Oreochromis niloticus: one gene and its partner. The protein of the gene in region 1 interacts with the protein of each later gene in a biochemical or structural test. Links are inferred from orthologs where the notes say so. Each region holds a gene or a part of one and is shown in the gene's direction. Other genes may lie near its edges.

Region 1 (8,271 bases):
CTACTTTGGGTAGGTCACCGCACTATGTGCCACTTTACGGTACGGTATATGACATTTTCATTTCAGGCATGAAGCTTGCAGCCACGGAGACCACAAATAATGTACTTATTTGTTTTATTTTGTTTTACACACACGTAAGTTTCTGTGGTAATATAAATACGCTTCTAAAGCAAAGGTTCCTTACTAGTAGAGGCTTATTAATGGGTATCGTCAAGGGAGTCTATCCTGTCGTAAATCCTTAACTAACCAATCAGCAACATTGGCAGAATGCTAGAATTTTAGCTGTAAATTATGGTCTCCTGTAAGAAAAAAATGAACTTTTATTTCAGCGCGAACGCACTATTGATACCGTTTAGTGAAAACTGAAATTATATGCGGCATTTTCTGTCTTATAAGTATTTGTAAATGCATTTACTTCAGTCACTTGTTCCCTCAACACTATCTTGAGCGCCCTCTCCTGGTGTTCTACGTGAGTTGCAGCCAATATCTGTGCAATGGAATTAACGGGAAGCGGACTTTTTAGACAACTTTCTTTATGAACAACCACACAGTCAAATAAGGCACTAAGAATATTTATGTACAAAACCGGGTGTACAAAAGAAAGAAACTAGACACTCAAACAGTGCATTAAACTTAAAATAACCAGCCATGTTTATGCATGGTTTAAATTTAAAATTGAATGCAAGTATTTGTGAATAAAAGACTTCCCTAATAATACCACAATCCAGATAATGGAATCCAATTTAGGATTGATTGATAATAATTCCAAATTTAATTAAAATCATTGTTATGTGTGGGCATTGAAGCAGCCTGGACTGCAGCCAGCTTCACACGTAGTTCTAGAAATTAAATTAATAAAAATAGAATCATGAGGTCCACACTTTCAATATCTTTTTTAAACCAGAGTTCACATCCAAATAAAATTTCAGCTTTATGTATTCATTAGTTGGGTAAATCTCATTTAGGAGAGGAAGTGAAACATATTTCTCTGTAACACCTGAACTTCCTCAGAATATAATTCCTTCTTACTGGGTTATGATACATTTCGTCTAATAAAATATTTCTGATAACTTTGTTTGTACACCTACTATGACAAAAGTCAATTATTGTCAGTCTGGGAGAAGTCCTAGAGTACACAATGTCTTCTTTAATCATTGATCTCAGAGGGACCTAGATGGCTCTTGTCAATGTTTTATAGCTCTTAGCAGTGCATCCTAACTTGAACTTTTCTCGGTACACCTCAGGCTGTAATAGATTACCTTTCCAATCCATAAAATGAGCTACATCCGTACACAGATATCGTACCAAGTCTAATGCATCTGGTGTTCCACGCAGGTGTGTTGTGTGGACAAAAAATATGGCTATAGATTCATTTCCAGTAGAGAATGACCTGCTGATAGAAATCTGTTTGACCCCTTTTTCCAAAAATCACACTGGGAATAATGATCAAAAGTAGTGTCTGTTCAGAATCAAGGCTCTAAACCATCTCAGTTTGAAGTACTATTCGTAATATAAAAAACAATGGCATTAGCCCCAACATCTTTATAATTTTTAACCATATCACTTACTAATGTTACATTTATGCCTCCAATGGTGTAGCGGTTAACACGTTTGCTTAGCAAGAAAATTTGGCTGGCTCAATTAAAGCCAGAAACAGCCATCCATTTTGGAGTGTGTGTCCATAAGCACATCTGTTGTAATAAATAAATAAATAAATAAGCATTAAAAACCTATGCCAAATCAAACACATGGTGCTATGTGGCAACAGAGTAGCTGAAAGCTGCTTTTGTTGTTTTGCTATGTCCCTTTGCAGCAATCAGTTTAAAATGAATATTTTGAACTGGTTTATATTTCTTATACCAACACAAATATTCCTATTTTCTGTTCCTATCTCATCCGTATAAATCCATAACATTTCATTTCCTTTTAAATGTGTATTACATCTTGACTGCAGGGGGGACTCATGCAGAGCCAGTATCTCACATTTATTTATATTCAGCTAGAGACCTGAGGCTTTGGGGAAGTGGTTGATCACATGGAAGGTAAAAGGGAGTTAATGAGTTCATTTTTCAGAAAGAGGGTTGTGTCATCTCACTTTTTTGACACATCGTGAAATTTTAAACCAAAACCTTCATGACTCAGTTGGTTTTAACAGGACATAAAAACTTCACACCTATAGAACTTTTTATGTATCAGTTAGTGGTTTTAGATCCACAGAATAAGATAAATTCAACTGGGGTTTCTCAAGGGTCTGTCCTCGGTCCCTTACTCCTTAACCTTTACATGGTTCTGCTTGTTACTATCATAAAGAATCATAATATATCCTGCCATTCCTACACAGATGATGTACATTTGTACTCAGCATTTTCCTCTGATGATCTTACCTGCACTGATGACATTAACTGCTGGATGCCTCCAAACCTTTTAGAACAGAAACAACACAGAGACAGAAAAATGTGATCATATTTGTCATCCCTTTCTCTGAAATACAGTGTGAAAAACAGGAATTTTACCATTTTGGACAGTGTTCTCAGTTTTGATGATCATGTTGATATTCTATTATCATATCATGCACTGTAGATCTATGTGTGTTTGTTTTTTATCTTGGATGTTAGGCACTCTGAGAAATCTGACCTTTTGTAATCTGTTTTTTCATCACACTTAAGCCTTCACTGCAACTATGTGTAATCATAGACAGCATCTCGGCAAACATAATCAACAAAAGTGTTAAGCTGCTAAATCCTTCAGGTATTCCTCTGTTGACCCCAAATCTTGAGCAAGTGCCACGTCACTGCTGAAAACAGGAACAGGTGTTACAGTTACATCTGTCACCTGTGATGCTTCAGCTGCGTATGAGGTTGCCAGTATATGCTCAGGTAAGGTGTCTTAACGGTTCATTGGTTATTTAAAAAATAATGTGACACATTATAAGATTTAAAATAACATGTGACAGGTAATCCCTCTGATCCCCAAAGAGGAAAAATTCAAACCTAGAGATGTTTGTGTGGGAAATCCCAGTAGATCAGTAGTTTCTGAAATATTCAGACCAGCCACATTTAAAGTCATTTTAAAACACCTTTCTTCCACATTCTGATGCTCAGTTTGAACTTCAATAGGTCATCTCGACCATGTCTACATGCATAAATACACTGACTGATTAGATGTGTGCGTTAACGAGCGGTTGAACAGGTGTACCTAATAAAGTGGTCAGTAAGTGTGTATTCTGCTACAAATATGTCAGTGTATGCACAAACAGTCACTGGGAGCCAAAAGCTCATACTTCAGACAGTTCTTCTTAGTCTTGATGACGTCGGTACCAGGGGAAATCCTTATATGGTCTTCTCAACCTCACCCCTGATATTCAAATATTTACCAGGAACAGCCAATCAGAAGAAAGTTGGATTAAGTCGAGCGAGAAGGAAGCTAAACAGCTTGTTTCAGACAGTGGGCGAAGGGAGACTTCTCTAGTAGCAGTCCAAACATGAAAATACAAAGCTTGGAATTAGTATAACAGGTTCCCTTTAATCTGAAAAAGAGACATAAATGAGATTTTTACGGTAAATGCGCCCAGTTTCCGCCATGTGATTGGCGGATTAAATATTTGTCCTAGCTGTAGAAGAAGTGTACCTAATAATGTGGGGAAACGGTGATAGATAGGTTTTTAAAAAGAGGCAGCCAAAGTGTTTCACAAATTAGTAACCACTCAGCTATGGGTGTGTGTAAAAGTCTGTCCTTTTACATAAATCTTATTTTAGTAAACTTGAAACAAGTGGATAGTTCTTTTGAATGTAAAAAAATTTTCACAGTGTGTTTATACTCAGAGAGAAAATGTGTATACGTTATTATTCAGTGATTTAACAGCTCCGGCCTACTTGAGATCAGATTGGATGTTGGCCAGGAACTCAAAACCTCGGTTTTGAGTCAGTTATAATGACTCTTGTCACCAGAAGGTGGCAGTAAGACTTAATCCATAACTATGTCTCTTAACTTTGCTGCTTTTGTGTACTGTTCACACAGCATCTCGGGTTTCTTACAAGTCGATCCCCCCACCACCCCAACACACACACCACCACCACCACCACCATCTCCGGTTCTCCATCATAGGACCTTTTTTGGGAATTCTTTCCTTATCGGAATTGCATGTCTAAGAAAACAGAGAGTGCTGACTGTAAATCCAATTCAGAGGCCACGTGTGACTGGTAACACTGGGATGTTGGGCTTTATTCTAGATTGTATGTTCTGGGAGAAGTGACATATTTGCACAGTGAGCCTGGGTTCAGCCGTGGACCCACTGGACTGTCATAAACCAAACTCACTAAATTTCTCATTACACCCACCTTGACCCTGATACAGTGCTGGAAGAGATGTATCATCTTGTAGGGGTCTACCACAGAACAGCATACTGGTTTAATCTAGTCAGCTCAAAGGAAACAGCTGTCAGGGGCTGCGCTTATGAGTATCGTTGTTATGAGACGATTACGCACGAAGTTAGAAAATGGTAAACATGCCGAGTGGAATTTTTCCATTATTGTCGAGTTGATGAGATCTGACTGTAGAGGGCGTGAAGGGACCCGATGTCAAAACACTCAAAGAATTCCTAACGTATGGTTTTGTTTCGTTATTGCGCTCTTGGTTAGGTACTCACCGTTGTGCGTTTATATTTTCACTTTTATTTTGCTTTTTAAGTTAAGTTTCGTTTGTTTTAAAATCATACAAATGATTGCATTTCCTATCTTGACACTCCTGCTGTAGCCAAGTGCCACAATACCACCAAACAAACAGGGAAGGGGGAGAAAGAGAGAAAAAACCGCTTAAGTGCTTAAGTTCACTTTTTATTGTGTTCAAACGCAGTTCAGTGTGCCAAAGATCCTCGAAAAACAGCACAGGTTGTCCACTTGCCTTGCACGTCACATACCTGAACTCCGCCCCTTGCTAGAAAAAATAAAACCCCCCGAGACAGGAAGAACCTGTCAATTCCTCTCACTCCATGAGCACAAGTTCTTCAAAGTAGTTTACTGCATGTTGTCACGGGAGCTATAGACTCACCACATTCAGACGCATTTCACAGCTCAACCCAAACCACTCAGGGCGTCTCACCTCAGCCCTCCATGCTTCTGCAATCCGGCGGGTGTTAAGATCCATGGAAGTGGCCGGCTTCTACGAGGAGGGCAGCTTTGCTATCCACAGTAGAGACAGCGTTATCAGCCCCATCGGCGGCGGCTCATATTGGAGGCTCGGTGACTCGATGACGGAGCTGGGCATTGAAGAGCGGGAGAGAGCGATAGACTTCAGTGTTTACCTGGACTCAGCTTTGCACTACCCGCAGCTGGCGGCGCAGACGCAGCAGCAGCAGGGGGACGTTTTCTCAGATTTCTTGGCAGAGAACAAGAGAAGAGTTGCAGCTTTGCAGAACTACAAGAACTACTCGCTACTGAACGAGCTGGAGACGAGCCAGTGCGACAACCTGAGGGACCCCAGGGAGCCCTACGCGCTAGGTTACCCGGAGCTGCAGGAAACCCGCGTGGATAGCGTGCTGAGCCCTGAACTCGGGAGCCGCTACAGAGCTGCTGCTGCTGCTGTTGCCGCCGACAGAGAAGACAGTCAGGAAGACGCAAAGATGGAGAACGGCTCGTCTGCTTTTGACATGAGGTCCTACATTCATTACCAGTCCACTAGTGGTAGTCTCGGAAACATCTCCACTGCGTCCTCGACTTGTTCCAGCCCGCCCGGCACACCTGCCCCGTCAGGTAAAAGCAGATCACCATCGCACAGTGGCAAAATGTCCAGCGGGAAGTCAAAGAAACGCCTGGACAAGGACAGTGAAGAGTACAGGCTGAGGCGGGAGAGGAACAACCTCGCCGTGAGGAAGAGCAGGGACAAAGCCAAAATGCGCAACTTGGAGACTCAACACAAAGTGCTGGAACTGGCCGCAGAGAACGATCGTTTACAAAAGCGAGTGGAGCAGCTGTCCAGAGAGCTGGCCACCCTGCGCAACCTGCTCTCTGCCACCGGACAGTGTTAAAACACACACACACACATTCACACACCGGAGACTCTGCACGGATCTCCGTGCTGTTGTCTGATCATCGGTGGACTTTAGAGCCGAAAGGGAATCCACTGTGCTGAAAACGGTACGCTTCACAGGTGAAGACGGCGACCACCAGTTTACAAGGACACTTTGAATGGGACTGAAGGAGTGGGTGCATGTATTGCGCAATCATTCACGACTCTTCACATGTCACCTTAGCTTTATTCTCAGATGTGATTTTTTTTTTTTCTTTTTGTGTGTGTGTATGCAGTATTTCTGTGCAGGTTTTACATACATGCGAGTGAATTTCTACATTTTTTGTGTGTATCTGGAGCAGTGGTTGTCAAGGGAAGAGTTGTGCTGCAGTGAAATGATGCAACTCTTTGTAATAGTATTGGCAATGAATGAAATAAGTCTAATTATTTAATATTGAAAGGTGAAATGCTTTAATTGTACTTGATATTTTATTGAATTAAACAGATTTATACTTTGTTTAAACAATTTCACTTGTAAATCTCCTTTTTTTGTCCCTTTGAGGCAGGTGAAGGCTCAGACAGACAGAAAGGGGCGTTTGCTTGTCTAATGCTCACACTCATCATAGACTGACTGTGTAATACCACATATTTCTCTTACAACATATTGCAGATAAGAAACTGGCTCAGCGGCAAAGCATATTCCTAATCTTTTAATTGAGGCCTGCGTACTGAAATACACCCCAAAAGAAACACGGAGCAGGAATTTGACGTTTCTTCTTGGAGATGGAGGACATTTAAAAAAAAACAAAAGAAAGAAACATTACATTATATTTCAAGTATTTGCTCATGTGGTGTATTCATGAAGCAGAAAATGGCACCCAGTGGTTTGATCAGAAGGTAAATAGAGAAAAATTGACAAATAAAATAGAAAGATGATTTTTATTCCTGAAAATTAAGAAAAAAAAATGCTCTTTGGGTAAATCTGAAAGCTGTAGCACTTCTGTTTACTTAATGATTGGAAGAAAAGTTCTCATATCCTGAAATACATCCAGGCAATTTATGATGAAACGATACTGCTGAGGGCAGCAAAAAGCATAAAAAAAGACTTGGTCACACTGCACGCAGCACAGAAATGGCTTTATCTTTAGCACACTGCTCTGTCAATAGTCTGCAGGGTCCACTGCCCCAGAGAGGGGTTCAAGGTTGCATGGAAATTAATCAGCAACTAACCTCCTCGCACAACCTGAGGTCACATTTCAACAGCCAAGATCTGGCTGGCAGCGAGCGCAAACCTTATTTTAACCCTCAAGTCAGGAAAAAGGAAAAATGTAGAAGTTTTTAAAAAAATGGTAGTAGGTTAGCTACACCAGACACGATAAGTTGACAAACGGTCTGCAGTGGAATTTACCAAGCCCTGACAAGGCAGTTCACTGTGTGCACAATATGAAACATATCTGTCACAAGCAAGCAAATCCCAGACTGAGCAGATAAAGAAAAGGGAGCACGGTGGGATTTTAAAGGATATCTATGACAATTCAGGGTGGGGAATGTTTTTCAACTCTTTCCTCAAACAGCAAAGAAAAGTGAGGCGAGTGAAAAGTGCCTCTGTTAGTTTTTTTTTCTTTTTTAAGAAGTGACACATGTACTACACTGACACTGAAGAGAAAAACGAGGGGAAAAACTCACTTTATCTCCTCTTAATGAAGCATAAAAACTATGTGATGCTGTTTGTGTGCAGTGAGAGATGACATTTAGGATATTTCAACACACTCCATGATGAACAGTTTAGCTTTTAACTGTTGTGCAATATCCTCCCTTTCCAGCACATCACCCCACGAAGAATGCTACACCCACATTTAAATAAGACATTGTTGTACTCTATGTTCACGACAATGGCTTTAAGTGGTTGTGGCTTGGCTTTAATCCCCAAGGCCAATCAGAGAAACAAAGCAATGTTTCAGAGAAGCTCTCCATTGTTTGTCAGCAGGGCTCTTTGCTCCCGTTGCTCTCGTCCTCTCTGCAAGCGCTGGCACAGACTCTCTCAAACATTCTCAGCATACTTTCTTCGATGACCCCTTCGTTTTCTGCTGGAGCCCCACTCAGTCTTTCCCTGCTTCTGGCTCACATGCTGACAGGCAACAGGGAAATTCCCACACAGGATGACCTCTGTGCTTCAGTGTTTAGCCCGGCCCTCCGTGTCCGCATTTTACCGTCAATGGGCAGTGTCTGACCGTAAACTCCTCATTGCATCACAGCTCCTCCAATTGG
Region 2 (9,275 bases), on another chromosome or scaffold:
GAACAGGTCAGCCAGGAAGTCGTCGTTGAACGCTGATGGGTCGATGTAGGCGCTCAGGTCGATGGAGGTCTCGTTGTCTCCGATCTCACCGCCAAGATCTGCCGGGTCTCTGTAGCCGGAGGAGGGCTGCTGGTTCAGGCTGTTCATCAGGGGTCGAGGTGCGACCTCGTACAGGTTAGAGAGCTCCATTGAGAATCTAAACCCGGGCAGGCATGGCGATGAGCTCCGGGAATCCAGGTTGCACAAAGTCGGGTACTAAGGTGAGAGGGGGTTACACAGCTGCAAGCATGCGCTGACCCAAAGCTCGGAGAGACTGTGACGGTTGCAGTGGCTCCGTTTGTACGCGGAAAGAAGCGGAATGAAGCAGCTTCAGGCTTAACTCTGCTGGGCTGATTCCTCCTGCTCAGTAAACTCCGAGCTGTCAAACTGCTGTTATATACAGAGAGGGAGAGGGAGTGGGCGGGCACACGTGCCCGCGCGCGCGCACACACAGCCCTCAGTCTTGCCAGCTATCTGCACGGGAACGCTTCAGAGTCAAACTCGACTCAAACTTTTATCACACACAGCGTCCTGCGCTCCTCTCTGCGCGCTCTGCTCACACATCAGCGCCAAAGCTCAGGCTGGTGAAGACACGCTGAAACCACCCGGAGCAGTTAGAGTCGGTCCGCAAAAGTCACATTAAATATATATATATATATATATATATATATATATATATATATATATATACATATATATATATATGTTTACAAAAACAAATATTGACAAAAATTAATAAATGCTCTGGATTTCAGACGCTCTTCTAGACCGAGCGCGCTGGTGTTCAGCGCGTAACACGATCAGCTTGAAAACCTGTTTTAAAAGAACTAAATTCTTTTCTTTAATCCCCGGGCAGTCTACACCGGGAGACTTTATCTCTGAAAGGAGGGAGCGGCACCTATCAGAGCAGGACGCACAGACTTTATGTGCAAGTTATAAAAGTCGTGAACATCTTCTGGACTTAGAACACGTCTGATGTTAAATAGAATGCGCACTGATGCAAAAACCTGTCATTACTTCATTATAATATGAATATATACCGTCAAGTCCCTGCAAGAAATAACTTCTTTTCTTATTGTAATGTATTTTTATTTCCAAATTCTAAGTCAGGAAGATCCAACACTGAGGCATATTTATTATGACCTGCTTACAATGTTAGATGTGACTTGGGGAATCTGCTTGGATGAGGACGGGTGAGCAGCGCGGAGCAGTGGGGGCAGGGACGGCGGACTGAAGAGCAGGACTGCAGCGCCCTCTGTGAGCAGCAAACAGAGAGATCTTCGTGTTGGGAGCGATTTAAAGCTGCTTGTTTATTTTGTATTTTTATTCCATGCGTATATTTTTACAGGTTTTTGCTTGACCTCCATTTGAAGACAATAATCTGCTTCTTTCTGACAGCCCAGCGCGACTTCTGTCCTTTTTGTAACTGCTGCCATAAAAGTGATTTAGGAAAGGGCAGCTGGAAACAGTAGCACTGAGAATAAAATCAGTGGCTTATAAATGAGGTTCACATTGAGGATGTTGGAATAGAGAATCCTTCGGGGGGCATCTTTGGTTCATTTGAGGAATTTTTAAGCAACCTTGAGGAAGCTTTAGTGGTCCTCAGGGTCTGACTTTTAAAACTAGTGTTGACGGACTCAGCTGGGAAAATGTGAACAACATTTTCTGTTGCACTGGGAAGCTCTTCAGGCCAGAGACTTTCAGAAGGAAGTACCAAGGGTCCTTGAAATGATCTGGAGGAACATGTGTTTTTAAGGAAACAATATAATAATTAAAAAAGTTTAAAACTGGAAAAAATAAGTGTGATGTTCCTAAACTTCAAAGTCAGCATGTTAAACACAAACTAGAATACACAAAAACGCTCAGACAAATATTTGAAGAGCTTTTGTTTGCTTCACTGCAGCTCAGCTGTCAGCACGGTGCGAGGGTACCTCAGATCAGGCCAGCACGTGGACCTTTGACCTCTTCGATCACACGAGCGATTCCTAATACTGCATTCAGCCTTCATTTGTTTTCAGTGACTTTACTTTCATTTTAACAGCACTGGTGACTCTCTGTTGAGCTGAGGCAGCCCTGACCTCAATGACATCACACCATTGTCACCAGTGCTATCAGTGTTGCAGCATTAGTGGTCCTGTACACATTTTCTGCAGCAACAGTGTGGTTGGACAGTAAAAAAAATTAAAAATCACATTGTTTCCAGAAGCAATGTGATTTGAATTTAAGTTGACATTAACCAATCAGACCTGAGAAAGCAGTTTACCAAAAAAGCAAACACTGCACTGGAGTCATGAGTGACAGCTTCGAATTCCACATGGACAGCTGGCCAACATTCACAGCATATTTCCAGACATCAGCACAGTTTGGATGCAGCGCCTAGTGAGAGCAATGCAATGTTTGGTCACGTGACCAGGCATCACTATTACCAAACCTCATGTTGTGTGTGTCTTTGTGGCTGCTTTCAGTCCAGCTCAATTTCATTTATACAGTTAAGTCCAAAAGTTGTTGGACAGTGACTGTTTTTTTGGGGGGGTTGTTTGCCTCTGTACACCACAACAGTGAATTTAAAAAATGAAGCACAGACTTTCAGCTTTAATTTGGGGGGATTTACCAAAAGTACTGAACTAACTGTACTGGAATTACAGCCATTTTATGCACAGTACTGACTTTCACAGGACAATTGACTGACAAGCTGCTTCATGGTCATATGAGGCCTGTTGTCATCTTATGTCATGTGAAATAGTCAGATATAAAATCTGTTGTTAAGTCCAAGAGTTGAAATTGCATTTGATAGCTGGACTTCTCAATGTGGCATCTCAGTGGAAGTGAGGGAGGCCATCGTTCCGCTGAAAAGCCCAAATAAACAGCAAAGACTTTGGTATTGGCCAAATCAAAAATCTGGTGCATTGTTTAAAAGAAAGAACGCACTGACCAGCTCAGCAACACCAAAAGATCTGAAAGAGCATAGAAAACACCTACAGTGCATGATGACAGAATTATTTCCATGATTAAGAAAATACCTTTACAACATCAGACCCAGTCAAGCTCACAAGGAGGGGGCAGAGTCACAATGAAGACTGATAATTAAATGATGCATTTGCAAATGGAAATACAGAAAGTTTACAACAGGTCAGACTGTCAGTAAACATCTAAAAGAGCCTGAAAAAGATCTTGGGACAGATGATGGTTGTTTAAGAATGATGGCCTGGGCATGTATGGCTGCAGTTGAACCGGGTCATGGGTGTTTATTCATGATGTGGCTGCCAGTATAAGCAGCAGGATGAACTGTGGCGTGGTTTCTAGACTTTAGGTAGCCACCCGGTGCAAAGGATTTTTGTCCAGTTATTAAAATCCATCCTAATATTTACACTTAGGAGCCTCTGGAAATGGGAAGCTATGTATTAAAATGACAGTCAATGCACAAGTTTTGTTAAGTGAAAGCTGAAAGTTGCACTGCAATCTAAGGCTACGTTCACACTGCAGGCGAAAGCGCATCAAATCCGATTTTTTCGCCCCTATGCGACCCGTATCCGATCTTGGTCTGACAGTGTGAACGGCACAAATCCGATATTTTCAAATCCGATCTGGGTCACTTTCGTATGTGGTACTGAATCCGATACGTATCCGATGTTTTAGAAAGCGACTGCTGTGTGAACGGTCAAGTCGCATTAAATCCGTCTTTTACGTCACTGACACAAGACAGACGCCAATTATCAGCGCCGGAGAAGCGCCCGATAGGACATCGCGAACGATTTCCTACCATCCGGTGAAACTGTTGGGAAGACAACGTTGGAGAAATGTGAACATTTTATTTTTACTGTATTTTCTGCAGATTCTGACAGAAATCTGCAACTATCCTTTGAAGCACCGCTCCTCTAAAACAGCAAAAAGGATCATTATTAGGTTATCTACATTATTATGTAAATAACAAAATAACTTAAAGCAAAAATCTGGAAACGTAAAGTCCGAAGTCTTTATATTAAGGGCCATCAGTCAAACAATATTGTTTGCTCTGGGTCTAAACAGAGCGAGTTGTGTGACATCTTCTTTTGCGCATGCGGGCCGCTTTGAGCGTTCACACTGGAGAGCGTTTGATGTCGCATTTTATGTGTAGTGTGAACAAGCAGACAAAAAAATCGGATTTGATCAAAAAATCGGAATTGAGCATTAAGACCTGCAGTGTGAACGTAGCCTAATGTTCCACAGAAGAGGCCTGAAGCTGTAGGCTCTGCCTCCCATTCCACTTTTGGAAACTCTAGAAACCACATGTAACCACAGCCTGAGAGAAAAGTGCTGTCAGGATAAATTTTTGTCTGTTTGTTGTGGGTTTGTATCTTCTTTTTATCACTTTTATCACCCGCTTTTTTAATATTTGGGGTTTTTGTCTTTTTTTTTTTTTTTTTTACCTTTTGAAGTTGATCTTTTGTTTTTGTTTGTTTGGGGCTCAGGTCCAGGTGACCTCTGACATCTCGGGGTCTTTGTCTATACATCCCTTCATTTATATTCTCTGGTCACGATTATTATAAATAAAAGCGCTTTGGGTGCCTTGAAAAGCGCTATATGAAATCCAATCCATTATTATTATTAAAACAGTAATTACATTGTTTTTGTGTGTTCCTGGCAGGACCGCGGTTTCATTAAGTGCTTGTGTCACCTGTGAATGTTCTCCAGCTGTTTTAAGGGGTTTCTTCGTACACACGGACATCACAATAGTTATTATAGTGACTGAAGGAAGCGGGAGCGTCGTTACTGAAGGTACGGCCGCTTTGAGAGTGAGTCTCGTCATTCAGAGATGAAGTCATACGTGTTTCAACTCATCTGACCAGCCTCGGTTACATAAACAACGCCGAGAGAAGATAGCAGCGTCTCATTGGTCCAAACACGAATCAATCACAAAGAGCATTGCATCACTCCGCCGCACACTCATCGGTGATTGGCCAAGCGCCCCACTCGCTGCCACCTACTCGCCTGTGATTAGCTCATCCTGGACATTGCCGTACATGGTAAAAGAGATTTCGCAATCGGTCGCTCTCCATGTTACAAACAAAAACAGTCCGAGCTCATACGGACGGGATTAAACTTCGGTTTTCTAGGGAAACTTTCTCATCTTTTGACGGACGGTTGAGCCCGCCGCCTCCCAGTGAAGGTAAAATCGTAGTTTTCTTTCTCTGTAGGTTCGAAACAGCGAAGCTGGCAGTGAACTGATGGCTGTTAGCGACAGGAGCTAACCCGCTAGCTGGCTATGCGCCCGGCTAAACAGGCAGTGTTCGCGTTCGTTAAAAGAAAGCTGTCGTGTTTCGGGCCAAACTAGGCTTAAATCGACGCCTGTCTCAGATCGGGAAAGCTCGACGGTCAGTGGTGAGTCGGTGAGTTGCCTGTTGGTCGCTTCGAGTGAACAGAAAGTTGTCAAAGTGTTCGAAAATTAAAGTTTGGGTACTTTAAAGCGACGTGTTTCGGATCAGTCCGCCTGTTTTGATCTGTTTCGTGTGTTTTCATATTTGTCACACGTCGGTGAAGTCACCAGAAAGCGGTGGTTTTGTGTGTAGCCCCGCATGACTCTGGAGTTCCCCTGTCTTCACACAAAGAGAGCCGCTCGTGATGATGCAACAACAGGCAACCTCTCCGCTGTTTCACCCGGAGCGCTTTCCGCTGCGCACAGCTGACTGGCTGCATAGCAACGCCCCAGCCAATCAGAGCGGCGCTACTAATTGGCCGTGCGGAATAACAATCTGAACAATTATGGTATCGCAGTGATGGAGTAGGAGGAAGAAGATGGTGATGATGAAGCCTCCTAACTGGAGCTAGAAGAACGCTAGGAAAGTGAGGAAATGATGTTCAGAGCTGGAACTTTGACTGACTGACTGACTTCCACCTTCCAGAAATGATAGAAACACATTAAAATGGCTTGTCAGTCCTTTCGTTGCAGAAATAAAATTTAAAAAATCCCTGAACATTTCTGGCGCAGAGCTGCAGAGTGAAATCAAAAAGCTATCAAGTCTGACAAATGTTCAGTGTTTGCACTGTGAAGCTCATATTTAGCAGGACCAGAGCCTGCATCCACTGGTGGAGCCACCGAAAGACGCCAAAGCAGAATCCATAATACCGCCTTTGTGCCCATTTGCGTAGGCGTCTGATTAGTGAATTGATATGGGATATTCAACCAGCACAGACATGCTTGCAGGTGAGTGATGTGTTAGGCTCAGGTAGAATGTTGATTTGGTTAAAAAGTGGGCTTGAACAGTAAGAGATCGACAGGAGGTTCACTGCATAGAGGAAGAAGAGTGGAGAAAAAAATAACAGATCAAAATGATGCGCACAAGTCTCGAGATGCAGCTGTATGATATCAAAGACCACCAGGACGCTTTTCACTTCCTGTCAGCGCACAGGAAGCCAGCAAAGACCGGAACCTCTGACGTTAGGTACCCTAACCCTAATCAGATGGTGTTGTTCTTTCATGTAGATGATAAAAAGTCACCAGTACTTTACTTATTAAAATACCAAATAAAGTCAGTGAAAGGGACGTACTGTGGTTCAGCTGAGGCCTCCACTCCAAACGCGTGGACAGAAACATCTGCACACAGCTGTCTCTGACTTCTTTGTCTTCTTACATGTGTGGTGTTGTCCATGGCTAGTCTGTAGCTTAGTGTTTGCTTTGATTCTGTGTGATGTGCTCAATTAATCTGGTCTGTCTCACCCTCCAGGCTCTGTCCATCTGCAGGACCATCTTCTTTGCTTCTAGTCTTCTATTCAGCTCTACACCTGAGGAGACTCTGGTCAAAGATCAGCACCTGTTGGCAGCACATCCAAATGAGCCGGCCGTCGCAGCCGAAACTAACTGCAACTGACCACAACGGCGTGAGTGTCATCCAGAGCCAGGCCCACGCTGCTTCTTCGTCCCTCCCGGCAGCCGTAGCCGGACTGCAGCAGGTCCCACAACTCGTCCCAGCAAACCCTTCAACCGGAGGTGGCAAAGCCCTCGCCCCCAGCAAGATGAAGAAACCCCCTGCAGACAAGGACAGCGAGGAGTACCGCCAGCGGCGCGAACGCAACAACCTGGCAGTGAAGAAGAGCCGCATGCGCAGCAAGCAGAAGGCGATGGACACGCAACAGCGCGTAAACGAGCTGAAGGAGGAGAACGAGCGGCTCGAGGCAAAGATTAAACTGCTGAGCAAAGAGCTGAGCGTGCTCAAAGACCTCTTCCTGGAGCACGCTCACAACCTGGCTGACAACGTCCAGCCGTCGGCAGGCGCGGAGGGTTCCAGTCCCGCCCCCAACAGTACCTCCACCAATGGGCAGTGAGGAGGGTAACCACCAGGATGTTGAATATCTGCAGCTTTTGTGGAAGCTTCTCCCTTTGGGAACGAGGCCCCACTTCTTCTTCATGGCTTTTTTTTTTTTTCTGATTATCAGTTTTTATTTAACCTCTTAATAATTCAACACCATCATCATCCAGTTCGCCAAAATAACCGCCAGTGTTCCCACCGTCTACCCAGAACAGCTGGAATCATTTTAGAAGAAAAAGCTTAAAACATGTTTTCTGGAAATATCTTTTAAAAATTGAAAAGATCCACTGAAGTGTGACTTTTAAAATTGAAAGCCAGTTAGTCTGTGATGTTTGGCTGGAAGCCTCCAGCTGTGTCATCGCTCCTCTGATTGACTCATTGATTTGGGGGAACGTGATGCGATGTGAACTCGTATAAACTGAGTCGTCATCTGTCAGGATTCTCTGGAACAAAAAAAAAAAATCACCACACATTTCCTGCATTTCCTCTTCCTGGTGGCGGAAAACCCCCGGTTCAGTCTGATGAAGACGGCCGTGGCCATCGCTGAGTGCTCCGCAGCCACAGGATGGACTTGTAAATGCTAAAATTCCCTTTTTCAGGATGTGTATTTTCTTCTGTTCTTCTACAAAGAGTTTGTAAAACAAAAGTGTTTTTATTGTTAAGTACATTCACTACATGTTGATGTTTTAAGCACAGTTCTGTTTGTGTGTGTGTGTGTGTGTGTGTGTGTGTGTGTTTGTTTTGTTTTTTCATGACTCGTGTTGTTTAAGATCAGAAATGGAAAAACACTTTTATATCTGACTCTGAGTGAAAACAGAGGGAGGGTTAGGGTTACAGACACACACACACAGACACAATTATCCTTTACTGGGTGGTTTTATTAACATGTTTGAGTTGCACACTTTTAATTTTTGGGTCTGAATCGCGGAGTCTTTCCTGCAGAGGCGGTGCATGTTAAACCTTGGTCTCCTGCCATATCAGTGGCTGCCCGAAGCCTTTAACGGCTGAAGCCGGCAGCGCTCGGCCCTGACGAAGCAGAACAAAATGCTAATTTCACTGGAAATGGAAACAGTGGCTGTGTGCACATCTTTAATACACGTCACAGCTGATTGGTGTTAAATGAGAAAATAAACCTCTAAACTCATTTCACGCCACTTCAGAAAATCTCAAGTTTAGACTCTGAACAGATGGACTTAAACCTGTTAATAGGACATCTTTAAGTAAAAATAAAACCACTTGTTTATTTGACAGTATTGACAATCACGGGGCCTCCAGCAGTGTCAGAGTGTAAAAATCTATACATTATGTGTTTATTTTTGAAAATTATCAGCGTGTTTTCTTTTAGTTTCACGCTGAAGATTTGAAGCTTTAATCAGGGCGTTGACAGGAAGTTGGGGCATCCATCCTGCTGCTGATATGACAGCAAGACCATGTTGTTGTGTTGAAACTGTGTAAAGGTGGAGGTGTGCGCAGGACGAACCCCCTCCCGCCACCTGTCGGAGTGGCCCGTCCAGACAGGTGTGTTTGTGTGTTCGCCGCTGGGCGGACCCAGACACCTCAGACTCTTCAGGCGAGCCGCAGATTTAATTAAACCCACTTTTAACCCGGGCCAGCTGATTAGCCGCCTGCTAATGAGGTGTGAGCAGATCAGGACAGGCCCGTGCCCCGCAGGCACGCCGCGGAGAGGGGCGGGGCCACCCCGCACTGCTGTCAGACTTTATAATTATATGAGCTTTGTGTGGGCGTGGAGTGTTTTTCCACAGGGTTTGTCTGTCAGGAGCTTCGCCTCTGCAGGAATGTTGTTGTTGCTTCTGAGCTGCTCAAGCCAACGTTCCCACAAGGTTCTCCTAATGTTTCCTATAGACTTTGATTTTTTAAATTTTCTGCACAGATTCGTCCAGAAAGTTCAGCGAGTTTTAAACACAAACCATCAGCTCATCAGTCAGAATGTGT

What was found.
Region 2: the proteins of cebpb (region 1) and cebpg form a complex in vitro, tested with the Homo sapiens proteins (2 studies listed by BioGRID and IntAct, with this or other methods). The link is inferred for Oreochromis niloticus from reciprocal best matches to the Homo sapiens genes CEBPB and CEBPG.

What each region holds. Positions count from the first base shown.
Region 1 is NC_031984.2:10,007,726-10,015,996, forward strand, and holds cebpb (CCAAT/enhancer-binding protein beta), read left to right. Parts: upstream 1-4,959; 5' UTR 4,960-5,140; coding exon 5,141-6,022; 3' UTR 6,023-6,529; downstream 6,530-8,271. UniProt on the Homo sapiens protein: Important transcription factor regulating the expression of genes involved in immune and inflammatory responses. Also plays a significant role in adipogenesis, as well as in the gluconeogenic pathway, liver regeneration, and hematopoiesis.
Region 2 is NC_031965.2:37,664,437-37,673,711, reverse strand, and holds the start of cebpg (CCAAT/enhancer-binding protein gamma), read left to right. Parts: upstream 1-5,024; 5' UTR 5,025-5,185; intron 5,186-6,740; 5' UTR 6,741-6,846; coding exon 6,847-7,338; 3' UTR 7,339-9,275. Other genes in the region: cebpa (CCAAT/enhancer-binding protein alpha), read right to left, coding at 1-189. UniProt on the Homo sapiens protein: Transcription factor that binds to the promoter and the enhancer regions of target genes. Binds to the enhancer element PRE-I (positive regulatory element-I) of the IL-4 gene. Binds to the promoter and the enhancer of the immunoglobulin heavy chain.